Coturnix japonica: one gene and its partners. The protein of the gene in region 5 purifies or fractionates together with the protein of the main gene of each other region. This does not show direct contact. Links are inferred from orthologs where the notes say so. Each region holds a gene or a part of one and is shown on either strand. Other genes may lie near its edges.

Evidence for each region.
Region 1: the proteins of STK25 (region 5) and FGFR1OP2 purify together in Homo sapiens (affinity purification with mass spectrometry; 5 studies listed by BioGRID and IntAct, with this or other methods). This does not show direct contact. The link is inferred for Coturnix japonica from reciprocal best matches to the Homo sapiens genes STK25 and FGFR1OP2.
Region 2: the proteins of STK25 (region 5) and SIKE1 purify together in Homo sapiens (affinity purification with mass spectrometry; 4 studies listed by BioGRID and IntAct, with this or other methods). This does not show direct contact. The link is inferred for Coturnix japonica from reciprocal best matches to the Homo sapiens genes STK25 and SIKE1.
Region 3: the proteins of STK25 (region 5) and PROSER2 purify together in Homo sapiens (affinity purification with mass spectrometry; 3 studies listed by BioGRID and IntAct, counting the BioPlex papers as one, with this or other methods). This does not show direct contact. The link is inferred for Coturnix japonica from reciprocal best matches to the Homo sapiens genes STK25 and PROSER2.
Region 4: the proteins of STK25 (region 5) and CTTNBP2 purify together in Homo sapiens (affinity purification with mass spectrometry; 3 studies listed by BioGRID and IntAct, with this or other methods). This does not show direct contact. The link is inferred for Coturnix japonica from reciprocal best matches to the Homo sapiens genes STK25 and CTTNBP2.

What each region holds. Positions count from the first base shown.
Region 1 is NC_029516.1:62,494,051-62,497,550, reverse strand, and holds part of FGFR1OP2 (FGFR1 oncogene partner 2), read right to left. Parts: intron 2,373-3,500; coding exon 2,259-2,372; intron 1,966-2,258; coding exon 1,852-1,965; intron 1,097-1,851; coding exon 959-1,096; 3' UTR 1-958. UniProt on the Homo sapiens protein: May be involved in wound healing pathway.
Region 2 is NC_029541.1:3,922,568-3,926,610, reverse strand, and holds SIKE1 (suppressor of IKBKE 1), read left to right. Parts: upstream 1-1,243; 5' UTR 1,244-1,374; coding exon 1,375-1,681; intron 1,682-1,768; coding exon 1,769-1,911; intron 1,912-2,459; coding exon 2,460-2,573; intron 2,574-2,921; coding exon 2,922-3,011; 3' UTR 3,012-3,788; downstream 3,789-4,043.
Region 3 is NC_029516.1:5,522,727-5,526,915, reverse strand, and holds the start of PROSER2 (proline and serine-rich protein 2), read right to left. Parts: upstream 2,801-4,189; 5' UTR 2,545-2,800; intron 1-2,544.
Region 4 is NC_029516.1:21,971,501-21,975,687, reverse strand, and holds the start of CTTNBP2 (cortactin-binding protein 2), read right to left. Parts: upstream 2,801-4,187; 5' UTR 2,748-2,800; coding exon 2,679-2,747; intron 1-2,678. UniProt on the Homo sapiens protein: Regulates the dendritic spine distribution of CTTN/cortactin in hippocampal neurons, and thus controls dendritic spinogenesis and dendritic spine maintenance.
Region 5 is NC_029524.1:3,907,280-3,911,331, forward strand, and holds the start of STK25 (serine/threonine-protein kinase 25), read right to left. Parts: upstream 2,801-4,052; 5' UTR 2,671-2,800; intron 2,578-2,670; 5' UTR 2,543-2,577; coding exon 2,513-2,542; intron 1-2,512. UniProt on the Homo sapiens protein: Oxidant stress-activated serine/threonine kinase that may play a role in the response to environmental stress.

The DNA.
Region 1 (3,500 bases), on a different chromosome or scaffold from region 5:
GTGTACAGGCAAACCGTGCAAGCTACTTCTTGTTCTAGAAGCGCTAATTCATTTTCACCTCTGCAGCTTTTTCACTAATAAAAGTGAGCAGTCTTGTCAGTGTGATGTATTGAGAGCTCCCAGTGAAAATACACAAAACTCCTTGACTAAATAGTACTTAAAGAAAGAAAATAATAGTTCCAGGTGCACAGTCTGCTAACTTTGCCATAGAATTTCTCACCTCTTTCTCCCAATTATCTTTCCCTCAGTACGGTCTGAGTGCTTTCAAATTGCTGTTTCTAGCTTTGGGCAGCCAATCCCCAAAGAAACAGATGAGACTACGGCAGCCTGCCACCCACAGAGAACTGAGCTTCATTTTCTCTCATAAGGTAAAAACAACTGCAAAAGTATTGCTTATGTTTGAGCAACTGGCCTTACATTGCAACAGGGCAGCCTGCGGCTAACAGGAGCCCGTCGGCTTTCTGCTGGCTCTTTCCATTAAAGAGGCTCGTTGCTAAATGCTGAATTTCACAAACCTTAGTAACTAAAAGGACAAATGAACTATGGAGCATGCACAAAGCGTAGTCAGTCGCTATCTTTTAGCCAGATATCAGACTACTTTAAATCTTGCATTTATTGTATAATAGGTGCACTGAAGTTTTGTCCGAGCAATAAATTATATAAATTAAGTGAAATTATGTATTTTATTTGTAAAATGACTTCATATAAAAATAATTCCCAATTCCATAAGTGCACTAACCCATTTCCTACTGAAGTTAGACCTATGGCAATTAATCTGTCACTACGGTATTCAGAGAGTACCGACTGGAGTTTATTTTACACGGTATAAAAGCCACTAAACCAAAGTTCAAGATGCATAAGCCTGCTGGTGCCCTATTCAGTAACAAGTGCTTGACAAGTGACCCCTGATATTCCGTTTGTAAAGTGTGCAATTAAAGCTGGTTGGCTTCCACAGTCTTCAGCTCTTCCTCAGGCTCAAATCACTGCTTGTTACTAACCCTGAAAGGGATGTACTCTCTGATGCATCTTCTTTCTTAAGGTTCAGGAATGATTCTCTGGTTATCTGAAGAATTTCTCTCAAGCCTTTGTTTTCTTGCTATAACCGAGGGATAAAAAAAGGCATTTAATAGAACTCCAGAAAGTCAGATAACTACATGAAGGATCTCTCCTTCCCTTTACTACAAACACACTTACAAAAGACATGCAACAAACTAGCAGTACCAGTGAATGATCCAGTAACTCAAGAAAGAGACAGTAACTCAGTAACTGTGATAAGGTTAACACCCTTGCTAAGGGCTGAGTTCTAGAAATAACTGAAGCACTGGGAACAACAGAACCAAAGGCATTTTACACACAACGAACTGTACCAGAAGGTAAGTGCACAAAGCGGCTTTTGTTTTACGTGCCGGATTACCACAGAGTTACAAACAGAAAGGATCCCTTTACTGAAGAGTTTACTGACTTTAAAAACTGTTGTTAGGGTTGGTAGCAGCATTGGAAATAATTAAACATTGCACCCAGTTCCTCACTCGATAATAACGTGTGACTTGGTTCCACAACGTCTTATAAAAAAGCAGCCAAATTGGTAGCGCACTGGGAAAACCTTTGTCAAAGGAAATGATTTAATACCGAGGGAGACTGGAAAACCAAGCAGGTGACTAAAGCAAAAGTCTAAATCAGCATCTCAGGATTTGTGGCAATTTCAGCAAATCTACTGCAAGAATACAGAACATGATTTGCTCCCGAGTTCTGGAAAGATGGCACCGCAGCAGAGACCAATCTCATGTCAGCTACAGCCCCCTCAGCTCCTTGATACAACATCAAACTAATTCTCCTAAGTAAACTAATTACCTGAAACAGTCCAGCTCCATGAAGATAGCACGCAGCTATCTTAATGCTGGCTTTGAGTACTGGCAGCAGATGCACGGGAAGCTGGCTATTCCTAAACCCTAAAGTACTGAAAGACTGTAAAAGAAAGGTAGAACTGTAGGGTCAGAACAAGATATTTTGTTTAGAGACGTGGAGCACAATTTAAAGCTTGTGTGAACGTATTTGGGTAGCGGTAACCTGCTCCCCCAACTCCCCAAATAAGTGGCAGAGAGTTTCCCTGTTCTGACAGCCAGACTCTGATCTGTGTGTAATCGCAACTTCTTGTCTCACAGTCAGTTCTGAGCATTTCTCACTGGGAGGGTAGAGGAAGACAGATCCCTATTTGTGCCATCACTGGCACAAATCTCAAAAAAAGATCTCATACTTACTTCAAGCTGAATGATACGTTCCTGCTCTTTACAGCCATGCTTGTCATCAATTTCAATGGCTTTCCTCATTACCGCTGCCATTTCTGTAATTTGGTCCACGTGCACTTGTAGTTCCTACACCATATAGATAAAACAGTACTTTTAGTAATAAGCTTTCTTCATTACTAAAAATAAAGTATTACATGTGCATTTAAACTGCCGTGTCATGCAATAAAAATGCAAACACAGACCTAAACAAAGAAGCGCTAACTCTACAGCATGAGCAGCCACTGCAGTTCTGTTCATTTAAATCAATCTGGTTTGCCACACGGTTCACTTTTAGGAGTTTTACAGAAGAAAACATGCCCAAATGACTGTGCCTTTGACAGCTTCCATGTCTCCCAGATGGCTGTTAGACAGCCACGTGTTTGCTCTGGCAAGAACTTCCTGTACTGCAGGAGCTGATGTATGCGTCCTTCTGGATGTGCAGAAAGGCCAACTTCATCTGAGCACAGCAGCATATTGGACCTGTTTGAAAGCTGGTCGCAAGTCTGGTACAGACAGTACTCGCCCGTGAGTGGGCATTTCTCTGTTAGAAAGAGCAGGCAAAGCTGTCATCCTGACTATGACATAAGTTGGAAAACTCTGAGTCCTTTTTGCGGTACCGCTGCTCAAATCCACTTCCCATTTCAGCTTATCTGGGATCTGGTCTCTAGAGGTCCTTGTCCTTGTTGAACTCTAGAAACACCCTCGTGTCCTGCCTGACCTCCACTAATTAATACCAATAGGGTACTTCCCTATTATAAATAATTACTGCATCTCACTGAAATATTCATGGAGGAGAAAAAAACAACAAGTGCAGTAGTTGTCTTTGCTCATCTTGTTCCACTGCCAGGAAAGTGATGATAGGAGACATTAACACAGGCCTAACAGCCTTTGCAGGGAAGTTAGATTTTGAATAATCTCCCCTGTTTGCAAATAAGTGATATCTTACTTGGCCCTTGTTGGCTTGGGTGATGTTTTACTTTCTCACTGGCCAGCATATCAGCAAGAAGCACTTATAGAGCCTCTGCTTATTTCTCTTGAAAAATGTAGATGAAGAGCCTAAGTGATTTGGCATTCACTGCTGTAGAGTTAAGCCAAATACTTTAATGTATTTACAGACGCTTTTAATTTGTCCAGTCTTTCAACCTGTTTCTTATTCCAAATCCACTAACAGACCTGCCTCTCCATGCCTGGCCTGACCTTTGGGCAAAATTCACA
Region 2 (4,043 bases), on a different chromosome or scaffold from region 5:
TAAACACTAAGATGCTTGAGAGGCCAAATTTATACATTCTCTTCAGTTTATACAGCGCTGATGTGATAAGCCAAAGGAATTATAAGACACCACTGCCCTGAGATCGCTCATCCGCTGCTTTGTTTAAGCTCTGTTGCTACATAAGAGAAGTCCTGGTGAGAAGCACGAGCAGCATTTAGATACAGGAGTGCTGTGCTACTGGGATCGGGTCGGTCCTGGCGCCACATGAACTCATTCTGCTGTCCTCTGGGAGTGGAACTAATGATTCTGTGTCAAGAGATCTGCTGGGCAGGGAGCGAGCCACGGCCCTGAGTGGGGGCATGGGACACATTAGGACTTCATCTCCTTTTCATTCTGTGTCTTTATTTCAGACACTCAGACAATCCTGACATGGAAGCCTGATAAAGCAGTGCCTCTCCCTTGTCTCCACGTGGCATGAAAGGCCGGAATGATATCTCTGAAGGAAGGGAAGAGTGAGCATTAAATCATGCCCAAAGGGAAGGAGAAGTGTAAGAAACAGAATAGGTTCAGACATACAACCCAAGTGCAGCTTGTGCTGAGGTGTAGTGTGTGCTCCTGCTGCTTCAGTCTGACTTCCCAGCTGATGTGAATTGAATTGCTGGTGCTGCATTGATCTCACTGAGTCCCCCGGGCTGTACGATGGGATTTAAGTGCAACAGGTTGTAAATTTGGTACCACGGAACTTCCTTAACTAGAATAGGGTGAAAGGCACGAACAGCTGAATTGTTGAGTGTGTCCCAAAGGAGATGTAAGCCCGCAGGGTGGCTGCAGGCAGCAGAACTGCTGACACTGCTAAAACACTGCTTAGAAAGTATCAAAGGAAAACGTGACACGACGAGAAGCGAAGCAGCAGAATCACCACGGGTGGCTACGGGCGGTTACAGCGAGCAAATAACAAAGAACGAAGTCAGCACTGCACAGCTTGTTATTTTAACTTGAGGAGAGGATGTTTACTGTCGGAGGGACAAACAGGGATACAGATAAGATGTCAGCCCAGGATTTAAAGGAGTTTGAAATCAAGATAACCAGGACCCCCCGTGGGTCACGGCCACCTGCGCTGTGCAAACAGAGCAGCTCCCATTGCCGGCTCTCAGATCCACGCCGTGTGACAGCGGGGAGCTTTGGATCCACGCGTTTAACACCATCCCCGCACCCAGCGGCCTCCAGCAGGCGGCGGTGCGGGCTCAGCTCCGGGCTCAGCTCACGGCTGCGCAGCTGCGGGGCGAGGAGCCGGCCCGGAAAAGGCAGCGGCTGTTGTGCGGGTGTTGTTGTGCCGAGCGGGTTCGGTCCGTGCGCTGTGCGGGACATGGGGCCGCCGCGGGACTGAGCAGCGCGGCCCGACCTGCGCCCACCATGAGCTGCACCATCGAGAAGATCCTGACGGACGCCAAGACCCTGTTGGAGCGGCTGAAGGAGCACGACACCGCCGCCGAGTCGCTCATCGATCAGTCCGCCGTCCTGCACCAACGCGTGGCCGCTATGCGGGAGGCGGGTGCGGGGCCGGCCGACAAGGGCAGCGCGGCGGCGGCGGCGCCCACGGCCGCGTCCCGGCGGGGTCGGAGCGTAACGGAGGATGGTGCTGACGGCTCCCGGCTGCGGCCGCACACGCTGCTGTGCCAGGAGAACACGCAGATCCGCGACCTGCGGCAGGAGAACCGCGGTGAGTCGGACGGGATGGGGCTGACGGCTCTCGGTGCACCGGGGGGGTCGCGTGGTGCCGTGTAACGCTGCGATCCCTGTCCCGTAGCGCTGTGGATCTCTCTGGAGGAGCACCAGGACGCCTTAGAGCTCATCATGAGCAAATACAGGAAGCAGATGTTGCAGCTGTTGCAAGGGAGAAAAGGTGAAGATGCGGAACCAGTGCTGAAAGTTCATCAGGCCAACTCTGTGGTAAGGTGGGATGGGGATGAGGAACTTGCTCTCTGGTTTGCTTTCATGCAACGTTTGTCTCCTTTCACGGGCCCATTCTGCTCCAGGAGCCTTCTTTCAAGCTCTGGTCCCTTTGGTATTTGATCTTTTCCCTGCATTCTTCTCACAGGTTGTAAATTATCACAGAGCATCCTGAACAGCACGAGCCTTTGGTTGTCCAGGTGAAGGCTTGCTGTGTGCTCTGGGTGATACATTCCTGGGGTTAAGCTTTAATAGCTTTGTTTTCACTTAAGAGGAGCACAGCAGAGGTGGTTATCATTACTGTTGAGTAACTGTAACAAAAGGAAAAGAGCCTCCAAAATCCCTATAAGCTGCCGTGTGTTGAGGTATGTGATGCTGTCTTAAAGCAGGGAGGATTACAAGTGGTTGGGAGGGAAAGATTAAGATTCAAAATGGGAAAGTAGTCCAGAATTAATAACATGAAAGTAATGGATTCATAAGGAATAAATTATTACTGCTTTTGCCTGAATGTATTAACGGTGTTTGTTTTTTTTCCCCATGTCTTTCAGGAAATTGAAGGACAAATAGACAGGATATGTGAGATGGGTGAAGTGATGAGAAAAGCTGTACACGTGGATGATGATCAGTTCTTCAAGGTACAGGAGAAACTAGCTCAGCTGGAGGTAAGAACCCACGACATCGCTAAGGACAGATCAAGCTTTTGGGGACTATAGATGGTTGTGTGTGTCAGGTGTTAATAACAATAAAAAACAGGGATGGTGGGTGAGGTTGGGAGGCAAGGAACATTTTCTGTTTAAGTTCTTTGTATTTCTGTCATCTTAACGATAAAGCCCAAAGTAAAAGGTGTCCTTTAAAGTGATGTGCTTCATCCCTTGTAAACATTAGTTTGAGTTCTAGATTTCTATTCGGCTGTGAAGGAATGGGGCTACTTAATTAACAGTCTGTAATCTTTGTTAATTAACTCATCTCTATCTCAGTTGAAATACTGATTATTATTTTTCTTTTTGCAGCTCGAAAACAAAGAGCTTCGGGAACTATTGTCCATCAGCAAGGAATCCTTTGAGCTCGGGAGGGACGATGTGCGTGACAGCGAAGCTTAGATCACAACACACCCAAACCTTGACTTCAGAGACTGTTCTGAAGCCACCCAACAAAGGACGATCTGTAACTTGTTCTTCAGGTGTTTCACATGTTCCATCTATCCCAATGTGTGCCCTGTGTTACTCTGCAATCACACACTCCTGATGGCAAAGGCTTGTATTGCTGCTCTGTATTATCAACCAAGTGAACCAAGTGCTTTTGGTGCCGGCTCTTTTGTGGCAGTTTATCTCACGAGTGTTACTTCCATAAGCTTTCCTCGGCAATTCCAGCTGTCACTTAGAACTGCCTGATATGGGGAACACAATACAGCTCCTGGATGTTGTATTTGCTAGAAGGAAGAAGAATTGAAGTCTATGTTATAACAAGTTGATACCTTGCTCTGCCTGCACAGTGGAGCTTTGGCTTTGAGGACCCAACCCTCAGTATTTGCTCACATTAATATTATATTATATTATAATAATATATATTATATATAATATTATATATATAATATATATTATATAATATATATATATATATATTATATTGATATTGTGATGCTCTCAGTGGCATTTTCATGCTGTTTTCAATGTAATTCAATGACACCCAATTGTCACTGTTACTTTTTGATGCTGTTTTTACTTAGTTTTGATAGATAAAGCAACTGTGTGTGTTATGAGTCTATTTGGATTATGCAGATAAAGGTGTTTAGTTGATATATGGGACTCCTGTTGAGGAGCATTGTACAGACTTCTTTCCTAGACTATTTTAAGATGGAATAAAGCAATTTACAGCCATTTTTGTGCTGTATTCTGTATTGTATCAATGCTGTCCCGTCGCCCCGTCCCACGTGGATCCCGCGCTATGGCGGTGCCGTTGGCTTTTGCGCATGCGCACCGTGCTGCCGCCGGTGGCCGTGAGGGCGCAGGCGCGGCCCCGCCCCGCGATCTCGCGAGAGGCCGGGATTAGTTCCTACGTGCGGTGCCGTGCTGCTCATGGCGGCGCTGGAGCGGGGGCGCTGAGCTGTTGGGGTGAGTCCGCCCGGCCGGGGG
Region 3 (4,189 bases), on a different chromosome or scaffold from region 5:
GACACTGAAATCACTAAGCAGATATTTACTTTAAAAAGAAATTAATTTAACGATCATTTAATTCCTACATAAGCACATAAAGGTCTGCCTGCCCAAGGTGAACTGAGCTGAAAACAGCATTGGAAAAACAAAGCAGTAAATGCTTGTCTCATACATTCATTGGTACAGGAATGATCAGTAAATTCCTAATTGAGAGGGAGATCTTTAAGCAGTTTGTTACACTGGAAAATAAAATCACTTGCTTCTATTTTCTAATTAAACGAGCGGAAGGATGTGGCAACAGAATTCGACAGAGCCTGTCTGGCTGGCTTTGAGACCCACTTTTATTGGCATTTATTTTCACGCTCCGGTATTTTAGAAGGTCAGTCAGTCTGTGACTTGTCAACTACCAAGGAGTTACAGTGTTCACTACTATATCCAACGAGCCAGTCTTTCTGCCAGCATTCTTGGTTAATATTTCTCTCAGAGGTATGCATATAAAGAAGGAAAAGCAACTATGATCAAGAGGGGAAGAGTTTTACTACTCACAAAGCGCAGAGATTCAACACAGCATCTCCCTGTTCCTTCCCCATTTCAGACTTCATTTGTACTTCCAGTCAAAACTTCGTATTACTCATTCACTCTCTGTTGTAAGAACTCAAAGCAAGCCCATAGTGAGAACGATAGTGCTGCAAATACGTATTCAATTTCTTTGAGCTGTGAGTAATCGGTGTTTTTCTTTCCTGTTTATACACCATCCCCCCCCTCCCCATACAGGTATTATCACTGCAAAAGAGGGAAAAAGCCTACAATCGTTATTCTGTACAGTAATAGCTGTACGATGAAGAACATCTGCAATGCTGCATTAGCCAAGGACCTGCAGAAAAGCCTGAAAATATCTTTGTGTTAACCTAAGCTAGAAACTGCAACAGCTTCAAAGACTAACGCTTCAGTTTAGAAGGAAGTTTTCCCTTCTGTTCCCTTCATATAAGGAAAGAGGAGAGAAAGCAATCACTACATTTCTGGTGCTTCATTGTAACAGTTTAAAATCCTGGCCATAATAACAAGAAGACAAGTCACCCTCCACATTCATTTGCCTGCATCATCTCTTGGGTATTGCTCACACGCAGGATGAAACGCAACAGATTTCCAGCCGCCTCCTCTGGGTGCCATACCCAACCAAAAGCTATTTGGGAAACATGCCCTTAAGATCTTCAATTGCTGAAAATCTGGAGAGCCTTTGGAAGGCTGTGGTTTTTCTTTCACATCCTAAACCTCGTCTGAACTACCCAGGCTGACAACCTTCAGAAGCACCAGCTGTCTCACACCTTCTCCAGACAGAACAGGCACCTGACAGAGGGTAGGGAAAAATATTTTGAGCTAAAATCTGCTGCTGTTTAAGCCAACAGTTTTTCCAGGGGTAAAAACACATTCTGGAAAGTCAGGAAGAAATGAAGCAGCTCTTTAACATCACCCTTAGCAAGCCCATAGCACTACATATAGAATCATTAAGGCTAGAAAAGACCCCTAGGAGCATCTAGACCAGCCACTGACCCACCTTTCCATGCCCACTAACCACGTCCTCAGTGCCACCTCTCCATGTTTTGCAGCCACCTCCAGGGCCAGTGACTTCACCACCACCCTGGGCAGCCTGTGCCTCACTGCTCTATCTGAGCAGAATTGTTTCTTAATGGATTTCCTAAACAATGAATATCAGCACATCTGAAGTTTAATAATGCACTGGCACCAACCCTTTTATAAAGTCTTTCACTTTTTCCTTTCTTTCTTTTTTTTGGTCAGTAACAGTTCGCTGCTGCCTGTGGATTTTTAAACAGAATGTGACGGGGAAGAAAAAAAATCAAGGAATTAAAGGAGCTTGTAAGCAGGGCAGGGAGCAACTTCTCACACTGTCTGTCAGGGATAAGACAAGAGCAAATGGTTCAAGGTAAAAAAGGGGAGATACAGGTTAGTAATTCTTTACTCAGAGGTGAGGCACTGGCAGAGCACCCAAAGAAGCTGTGGGTGCCCCATCCTTGAAGGTGCTCAAAGCCAGGTTAGATGGGCCCTGGGCAGCCTGAGCTGGTGGGGGCACCCAGCCCATGGAAGGGGCTGGAGCTGGAGGAGCTTTATGGCACCAACGATAGCAGAGGGCTCTGCTGGAAGTTCTTTCTCCCTTTCCCCGTGCTCTGAACCACATCCCGCCCAGCAGCACCTCTCCGATTCTCACTTTGCTCGCTGCTAACATTACACACCGCTTCGTTGGAAACCGGAGAGCAGACAGAGAGCACTACGGTGCGTCACGGCGACTGACTGGAAGGAAGTTTAGAAAACAATAGGGCGAAAACCCGAGCGGAGCAGCCTCCTATTACTTCTTGAGAAGTCACCCATTCGTGAGGAATAAGAGCAATGCTGGTATTACTCCCACACAGAGCTGATAAGCGCCTCAAGAGCGGTGGGAAAGACCCCCAGGGGAGGGTATGGCTCCTCTTGGGAGAGATAGAGAAGCAAAGGAAGGAAAAGTCCCCTCAGAAAGAGCGACCGGGGGGATATTTGAGGGAGACTTACCGGCTGCTGGCAGTAAACCCGCTCCTCTCCTAATAGAGACAACAGATGAGCTAGAAGGACAACAAGTTCTCCAAGTGCTCTCAAGCCAAACACCGGCTCCTCCAAGCACCGAACTCATGCGCACTGCGCCCGGCCAACACCCACGGCGGGCGGTTAAAGCGGCAGCGCTGAGCGGGGACAGGGCGGAGCGCTCCGTCCCGGCTGGAAGAGGTGCTTCGTCATGGCTCCGCCTCGCCTGGGCGGGATGGCCGCCTTTGTCCGGGTTGTGCCGCCGCTCCTCGTGGCCAAGCGAGCCGGGTGGAGGTGTCTGTGAGGGAGGGAAGGCAGGGCGTGCAGGGCGGGGGGTGCCGCCGCCATCTCCGCCCGCGGTGTGTGAGGGCGGTGCCGCCTAGGAGCCCTGAGGTGAATTCCCGCCCCGCCATTGGGGTGCGGTGTTTTATCCCTAACGATGGGGGTTTGTTCCCACTTTTCACCCTGTGCCTCACTTCTCAAGGGCCTTCCCTCTGCTGTGAGATGTTAAGGGTGACAACAGTATAAAGTTAACAACAGCTTTTTCTGCCTCTTTGCTGCGCGTCTTGAAGGAGGAAAGCGGTCTGTGCTGTGTTAAGCGCTGCTGCCCACAGCGGCTCGATAACACGTTCCATCTACTCTTCTTTATTACTAATTTATCACCATACTGGCTGGTATTTATTTATAGAAAGTACATGCAAGGCTGTGTCAGCCATCAGCTGAATGGTTTGATTTAATGTCCCATGCCACTGTAAAAATTTCAGGCTGTTTCTAGGAAGGGGCTCTAAACAGCTCTTTCAGGAATCATTATTTCTTGTCCATGCTGTGGTGGCAGAGTTATTTATGGAGCAGAAAGTGCCTGAACACGTGGAAGAAGGAGATGTTTCAGAACGATGTGGCCCTGCCCACAGTAAGTGTTGTGACAGAAGCAGGATGAGGGAGATGTGTGATTTAGGTTGGGAGCAGTGAGACCCGGATGCCCCGTCCTTGGAGGTGTTCAAGACCAGGTTGGACGGGGCCCTGGGCAACCTGATCTAGTAAAGGTGTATGTTTGGTGGCCCTGCCAGGCAGGGGGGTTGGAACTACATGATCCTTGAGGTCCCTTCCAACCCGGCTCATTCTGTGATTCTGTGACAGATGATTATGAGGAAACATCTCTGGTGGCTGCAGTAGCTGAGCCTTGCTTAAGTCCTACATGTCTCTCTTGACCAGAGTGACTTTACATCTTGCCAATATTAGGTTAGATGGATCCCAGCTCTATCTTTTATTCTTGGTGACTTGGTATAGGATCATAGGACTCACCTGCAGCTGTTACACAACAGTATGGGAGAGGAAAGTGTTTCATTTCATCAAGGAGGGACGCGGGAGTGGCATCTACTAAGTACAGCCAACAGACAGTGGCTGAGGAAAACATTTTGGAGGGGGGAAAACACGTTTAATTGAAGAATATACTTAAATGTAAGCCTGTACTTTACTGATTTCCTGTTTGGGAGCATCGTTAAACAGATGCAAAGTGTTTTGCAATTCATCGACTTGGGATGTTAGATAACGTCAATGTGTTATTCCTACAGCATTATGTGCAAGTATATGCTAACTCACCCTGCCGGAGCTCAGGCTCTACTCGCTGAGTGCATCA
Region 4 (4,187 bases), on a different chromosome or scaffold from region 5:
AGCTGGGAAGTATCGGTAATGGTTGGACTAGATGATCTTCTAGGTCTTTTCCAACCTTGATAATTCTGTGATTCTGTGACAAGGCCATTCCCATGCCATTTTACCTTGTCATTCTTACCACAACAAAAGTAGTAATATTCTGTGAGAGATAACTGGGAACTCAGAAAGATAAGGCTATCAGCCTTACTCCTGGACATAACACTACAGAACAGTCTGGGTTTTCCTGTCATTTTCTCTAGGGGAGGAAATTAAAAAAGATTTCACATTTTCCATATTTGATCCATTCCTATGACGGTTCTAAGAACAGCAAAAAAAAAAATCAAGTAGTTTTGTTTTCTATTTCCCAGTGATGCTACTGATATCATACCTGCTGGTGTACTAAGATACGGGAGTAACAGCATTCAGTATGAGAATACCCTACTATATGTTTACTGCTTACACTGTATAATTTGCATATTAATAATTACTATTAAAAACACTGATCTTAGAATGTTTCATTGCATCGTTTATATAATCAGCATTCTGAGAACTCAGCCTAAAACTGTGCAGAGTTGTCCATGACTTACAATACTGTCACCTGAACAAGCAAGATGATTTCCATTCATAATTCTATATCTTAAATATAAAGACAGAAAGTAAGAGATTCATACTAACTCTTCAACAGGAACATCGGTGTATCACTACAGATACTTTGTATAATCTTTCCACTGCACAGAGGTGTTACTTTTGCATACAAAAACTAGAAGGAAATCGACAACTGAATGTCTATAATACCAAAGAAATACAAGAAGAATCATAGAATCATAGAATTGCCCAGGTTGGAAAAGACCTTGAAGATCATCAAGTCCAACCACAGTCTAACCAGAACCCTAACTCTAAAAACCCTACACTAAATCATATCCCTGAGCACCACATCCAAATGGCTCTTAAACACAACCAGGGATGGCGATTCAACCACCTCCCTGGGGAGCCTATTCCAGTACCTAACTACCCTCTCTGTGAAGAAGTTCTTCCTACTATCCAACCTAAACTTGCCCTGGTGCAATTTGAGGCCATTTCCCCTCGTCCTGTCAAGAAAAGAAATACTAAAGGACTGAATGCAAACTAAAAGTCCCTTTAAAGATCTTTTATTGCTGCTTAAGTACAGCTACTACTTGAATTACAGAGCAACACACAGGTTACTTGCCAGTATCTGCAGTTTTAGAAGAATATTTTAAAAGCAATGTGGTGTAGAACTATCACTCCTACATGACAACGAGCACCAAACTGCACGACCAGCAGATGCAGCACTGCCCAGCAGGGAAGTATTGGAGCACTGCCTCATTGTGAGCTATTCTTCTGAGTTCTTCAAAACTCAGAAAAAAAAATAAATAATAAAGGCAATAATAATATGAAATACTGGAGAATTCAGCGTAAATATTTTTTACTCAAATCCATGGCTTAGAGAATTTAATATTTTGCTTTTATGAACTGTTACCTTAATAGTCTTTCATGTTACAGTTCTGCCATTGTTTCAGAAGAGCAATGTTATTCACTTTGTGAGCTTTACCTTCCCTCTTTTTTTTTTTTTAAATATATTTTTATTTTCTTATTTAAGTAACTCAGTTTCTACAACAGGCAGAAGTTAACCTTCCTCGTGTGCATTAACTGCGCAGTCAGAACACGGTTTCAGGTAAGATTTGTGCCTGCTTGAAAGAGAATAAATAAATAAATAAGCCATCAGCATCTTCAGTCCCACACAAGCCGGTGCCATCCTTCCTTCTGGCGTTACTCCCTTCAGCAATGATCCAACCTCAGAGCCGTACCTCAACGTTTTTAGCACCCTAAACTCGGCATTTCGTTACACGTTGAGGCGCTCAGGGGCTGATCTCGGACCGCCCCGGCTCTCGCACAGCTGCCCCTGACGACCCCGAGCCCCTCCGGACCGGACAGCGCTGCGCTGCCCACCGGGACCCGGCGCTGCGGGTAGGGGAGAAATGCGGGGCGAAGCCCTGCTCTCCCACCACGGAATAGGCGACTAGACAGAGAAAGGACAGCAAAGGCGGGCAGAGGGAGTCAGCCTACATTGGGCCGTACCGTCGCACCGTGCCCACCTCACACACCGCCTCACACAGCCGGCTGCTCGGGAGCAGGGAGCCTGACGGCCCCTCGGCGCAGCCCAGCCTCTCAGGGCCCCTCGCAGCCCGGGGACGGGAGGGAAAGGGGCGCTGCCCCGGCGCCCCTCATCCACACGGGGAGGAACAAGAGAGAAAAGGGGGAAAGGAGACAGCGAGCTGCTGTGAGCGAGGATTCAGATGAGCGCTTCCCCCGCGCCGACCTGCGGGCTCCGGGCGCTGTCAGCACCTCCGCTCTGGGGAAGGCATCGGAGCAGCCCCGCCGCGCTGCCCAGCCTGCACCTCCCCGCCCCGAGTCCCTCAGCCGGGCGGGCAGCGGGAAGGAACAATGGGGCAGCCCCCGAGGAAGGCGGACGGGGAAAGAAGGGACCCCCGCGCTCGCCCCTCTTCTCCCCCGGGGCGGGACAGAGCTCCCCGCCGCAGCCGAGCCCCGTCCCGCCCCGGGGGAGAAGGAGGGCGGAGGGACGGAGCGGGGGAGGCAGGTCTCCGGGCACCGTTCCGTTCCGTCCCATCCCCACCGCAGCCCTCCTCGCCCGGTTGGGTCCGATCCCCCGGCCCGGTTACCGCTGCCGTAGCCGCCGAGTCTTCCTGGGCGCCGGAGCCCGGCTCGCCGCTCGCTCCCTCCGTCGCCATCTTCCCGCTGTAACGGCTCCGGCGCGGAGCTCGGCGCGGAGCCGAGTGGCAGCCGCCGCCGCCCGGCGCTTAACCCCCTCCCCGCCGGCACCGGGCCCACCGGCGGCTCGGAGCTTAACCCCTCCTGCGCCGCGCCAACGCCGCGCTGCCGGCCGAGGCGAACGAGTCCAGGCGTTGGGCCACCGGGCGGTCGGGTTTCCCCTCCTCCCCTCCGCCCCCCGCCATCAGGCGGCCCGCAGCCAGGCGGAGCCGGGGGAGCGGGACCCCGCCGCGGGCCGCCCGCCCGCCATGGTGGCTGAGGGGAGTGCCCCTGGCACGGCGCGGCACGGGCCCCACGCAGGCACCGCTCTGCTCCCTGCCCGCCTCTGAGGTTCGGGAGTGGGAGAACGGAGAGAGAGGATAGAGAAGAAAGAGCTTGTGCGGTGGGAGGCTCGGCTCACCTGCCCAGTCAGACCCAGCCGAAGCCTTGGAAGGAAAGGTGCCTCTCTCTGGGGGTGCTGACAGGGGTGTGTCAGAAGGAGCAACTCTCCTGTCACCTCCTTGTGGAGGACCGGGGAGGACGCTGCTGTCGCTGCTCCTTGTTTACTGACATGTTTACATGCCAAAGTGGCTTCTAGCCTGTAAGGGTATATTTTCATGCAGGCCGACCGCAGGGGGCCAGATTAAAGCCTCCCCATGCAGCCCTAAAGCTCAGCGTGGTCTGAAGTTGCCGTTTGCCATTCCAGACCACGACGTCCTAGCTTAAAACTGGTTTTAAACTCTCCAGAGGAAACCACTACCACACAGGCGGTCTGCCCATCAGAGAACACTTCGGTGCTGCACCGCCTGCCTCAAGGCCTTACCTATTTGGTAAGCTATAGATCAGCCTGAATGCGCTCTCTTCCAGAACCAACATAATCAATGACAAGCAAAATCTGGGACCTGTTTGTTCTGCAGCCACATGTAACTTCCACAAAGAACACAAATAAACACACTGAGCCTTGCTGGTCTCCTCTAACAGGGCTCCCTCACTTCTAGGTTTGTACTAAATTCCCTTGGCACTACAGCCAGGCAAAAATGGACCAATGCCTTCCCTTGATCATAGATAGCAAATGTTCTTCTAAGCATGCTTTACCTAAGGATATGAGTGAGAACATACATGAACTTTCCCCTCTGCACACCCAGAACAGGAACCAATTAGCCATTAGGGGAATAAACAACAGTAATATAAACATAGCCTGAACAGAGCAGAATTCAGCCTTCAGGGGTTCATTACAGAGCACAAAAACTCCAGTCAAACAGATGTATCCTTGATTTTTTTCCTTAAAAATCATCTAGCTCCCCTCCTACTCAAGTTTTACATTTTTTATGACTGTAGTGAGTGCTCATATCCCTTCCACTGCTGAAGCAGAAACTCCGTTGAAGTCAGAGCCCAAGCCTTATTTTTCTCAGTTCCCAGAA
Region 5 (4,052 bases):
ACAGCCTGGCTACATGCAGTTCCCACCTGTTGGCCACTTCAGCAGGATGGGGCAGCAAAGTGGCCCAGGCCTCACCTGCAGTGCTGGAGAAACACCACTCATCCCAACAGCCACTAAGGAGAGAAAAAGAACCATCTCTGGGCAGCAAGCCTGCAAGGAAACCCCCCTGTCCTCCTACCTGGATCATTTTTCTATGAGAAAAGAAAGGACAAGGTATGAGCTACTGCTTCCTTCTCAGCCCTGTGCAGCACATCAAGGAATTGGGGATGTAACTCTCCAATGGGACATCAAACAGAAGAGCACTGGCTGCTGCAGGCAGCTTTTGGGACAGCCAGCAGTTTGTGTTGCAGGCTCTGTCATCACAGGCAGCTTCCTGAAGAAGCGTCTATACTTTGAGGTAGCTGTATCATGCTTTCTGAGGAACAAAGCAGCTCAGGCAAGGGTGGTAGAGGAGACAGACCATGACAAGAACAAGGCTGCCTACAGGAACAACAGAACTGGGAACACAGCTGGATTCAGAGCTTTAAAGACTGCAGTGCAAATACATCATCGAGAGGGTAGAGCACCCAACAAAGGCCCACTGTGCTGTATGTACACAGCAAAGGTCAACCAAGAGAAGAGAGTACCTAGCTGGCCTAGGCAGAGGCACTGAGATAAAGCAGCTTAGGGATCTGCCTAAGGTAATCCGGCACATGGGCAATAGATAAGGAACCAGAGACAAGTGAAGGCCCTTACATTCCAATCCAAGTCGTATGTCTCTTTATTTTTACAGCACCTCCTCACCACTGCTTAAAACTTGGCTAACAGAATGTATGGAAACTGTCGAGTCCCAGCCTGAACCATTGATTGAGCACCTGGGCAAAGGACCTGGCCAGCCCTGGATGCACAGGTGAAGGCAATGCAGCAGTGAGACTAGAAGGGGTACAGCCTGGCTGCATCTCTCTTAGACCCCATTTAAGGGCTGACTGCCTCTGGGGAAGGATCTTTTTCTGGAGGTCTCTCCTTGGTGAAGCTTTCCTCTGCAAACTGAGACTCTTCTGATCCAGGTGAGCAATCTTCTTTCTTTCCTTTGTAGCACCTCTCTGTTGTGCCAGCCCTTCCATCATCATCACACATTTGATGTAATGCCTTTCCCATTGCACCGATCTAATTGCTACACAGAACTTCAGGCCAATTCCTGCTGCTCTTCCAAGAAGCCTCAATTAAACAGATTATGAGGTGCCACCGAGGATTCCAGAAGAGACTCAAGGAAGGGATAGATAACACATACTGCTTTCCTATTTTAGCACTGGAGTTATCACAGTATGACAAACTCTGATAAAACACCTGACATCTGCCTAATGTACAGATTAGATAACCAGAACTTTGATAGCTTCTATTATTGAATGCTGCCTAAAAACAAAGCTCTACTCAGAGCAAGACACTGCACCAACAGAGCTCAGCTCCCTGCCTTGAGCAGGCAGTATCCTTCTTCATTCCTTCGTTTCTCTCCCTGCAGCGTGACTCATTCAGGCACTAAATTTGCATTCAATTCCACCAGTACTTTGAGGAAACGGTGTGTGTGAAAGGCAGCATGCAAAGCAAAGATGCACTGCAAATCAATTTTAAACCAGGAAAGGTTTGGAGGAAGCATCACCTCAAACCACTGAAGTACACCTAGAAGCATAAAATACTCTGGTCAGCCTGGTCTGGTGGTTGGTGACTCTGCCTGTGGAAGGGAGGTTGAAACTGGATGATCATTATGGTCCTTTTTAACCCAGGCCATTCTGTGATGCTATGGCTCTGGGGGGACCTGAGAGTGGCCTTTCAGTACCTGAAGCAGGGCTGTAAGAAGGAAGGACACAGACTCTGCCTGCTGTGATAGGATGAGGGAAAGCGGTCCCAAACTAAGAGGAAAGACTCAAGCTGGATATTGATAATGAAGTTTTTTACAGTAGGGGTGGTGAAGCGTTGGCACAGGTTGCCCAGATTGGTGGTGGTGCCCCATGTCTGCAAACACCCAAGGTCAGGATGGACGGGGCTCTGAGCACCTGATGGAGCTGTATGTGTCCCTGCTCGGTGCAGGGTGTTAGAGCAGATGGCCATCAAGTGTCTCCTCTATGACTCTATATAAAGAAAAGCACCCAGATTTCTCCCTAGGGATCAGCACAATGCACTGACACCTGCCAACCATCACACATACCCACAGCCAAGCCCAGAAGAAAGCCGATCCGAGCTGATACCATTCTGTGCTCCAGCTTTTAGCCCTGAGTCATGACATCACCTCGTGCCATCACAACAGCGGGATGTACCTACAGCCCCTGAGGCCTCACACGGCATCACACGGGATGGAGGAGACCTTACGACGGTGACACCGACCGGCAGCACTGAGGCTACAGAGCCCGGTGTCCATTGCGGTTTGCCGTGCAGCAGAGCGGCCCCATATGAAGGCCGTGGGCAGCAGCCAGCAGCAAACAAAGCGGGGATCGATGTGCAGCGGGGAGATGGGAGCTGTGCACGGGGCGGCCCTTACCTGGCTGCCGAAGTCCCTCAGGTGCGCCATGCTGGATCCGTGGGGCCGCGCTCCTCGGCGTTCAGCTGCGGGAGACAACACGGCGGCTCTGCCCGGTCCCGTCTCGCCCCGCCATCCCCGCTCCGCCCCTTGTTGTCCCCCCTTCCCCCAGCCCCCACCTACGGCCCTGGTTCCCCCCGCGCAGCGCCGTGCGCCGCCATGCCGACAACAGCCGCCCCGGGACACCGAGCTCGGCCGCGCCGCCGGGAGGAAGCGGGAGGGGAGGCCGCGCCGCGATGCCTGCTGGGAGATGTAGTTCTAGCCCCGCCCAGAGATACAATGGGGCCGCCCCTACGGACTGCATGTCCCGGCGGGCTGTGCGCGGGGCGGAAGGAGGGGCCGAGGGAAGGGGAGGTGCGGGCTACAGCTCCCACGTGCGGCGGGTGTCGGGGAGCGGCGATAGGGGTCGGTGATGGGGGTCGGTGCTTGTGACGGCTGCCTTTAGGGTAAGCCATAATGAACGGCCCTGCCCGGCTAATGGCCGCCTCCGGGAGCGGTCAGGGCTGCCGGGTGGGTCTATGAACACGGACCCGCTTTGGGTTGTTTTGTCGCTGCCACCAGGTGGCAACCGCGGATCGCAGCGCTGAGCCCCGCGCGGCCCCGTGGGGATGCACGGTAACAGCTCGGCCCCAATGGCAGCTGGAGCATTGAGCACAGCCGTGCGATGAGCTGCCCACAGTAGTGGGAGACAGAGCTCCAAACCGAAGTGCTCGTCCCTTCGGTGCAAGGCATTGGGCTGATGGGCTGCACTCCACCTGGTAGGCATGAAGTCACCGCTGTGTGATGGCAGCCATAAGCTGCTCCGGGCCTTAAACCTTGTCCTTGCATCTCCTACAAGGATCAGCTTTAAAGGGAACCTGTCCCTGCCAAAAAGAACACACTGAGTGCTGCAGAAGCCCATTTGCTCCTATGGTTCCCCTTCCAGAGCCTTTAGGTGTATAGAAGCTGCATCAGGCTGCTAGAGCTCCAGCACTCTTGTTCCTGCCTGCAGACTATAACTACAAGGCTCAGTGTTGCGAGACTCTCTTTCCCTGCTGATATCATGGCTCTTAAGACTCTTTTGAGTGTTCAGCAAAGAAAAGGGCCTTTATCTCCCAATTCTGCTGCTGAAGTGGAATAAGCAGGAGTGGCTCTTGCAGCTGTGAAGCTCCGTGTGGAGCTGACTCCTGGGTTGGCTCAGCATCTTTTCCCTCCCAGTGACTAATCCTCAAATTAAGCCAGGCTCCTTCCAAGCTGAGAGCACAGAGCGCTTGTTCTTCCAAACCATGTTCCTGTGCAGCAGCAGAAAACAGCTGATGAAGCTGAATCTTAAACCCTCGCAGACGTCTGTGCTCTGCTTAGGCAGGAATGGATACAGCTGATGGATCTGCAGGGATACTTTGCCTTCCCAGCTGGTCTCTTCTCACTGCCCTGATAACAGGAGACCCCAGGGTGCCCCTGCTTAAACAGGGTGAATGACAGGAGCCGGTGATGAGGGTGAGCTGCACATCAGCCAGCACCT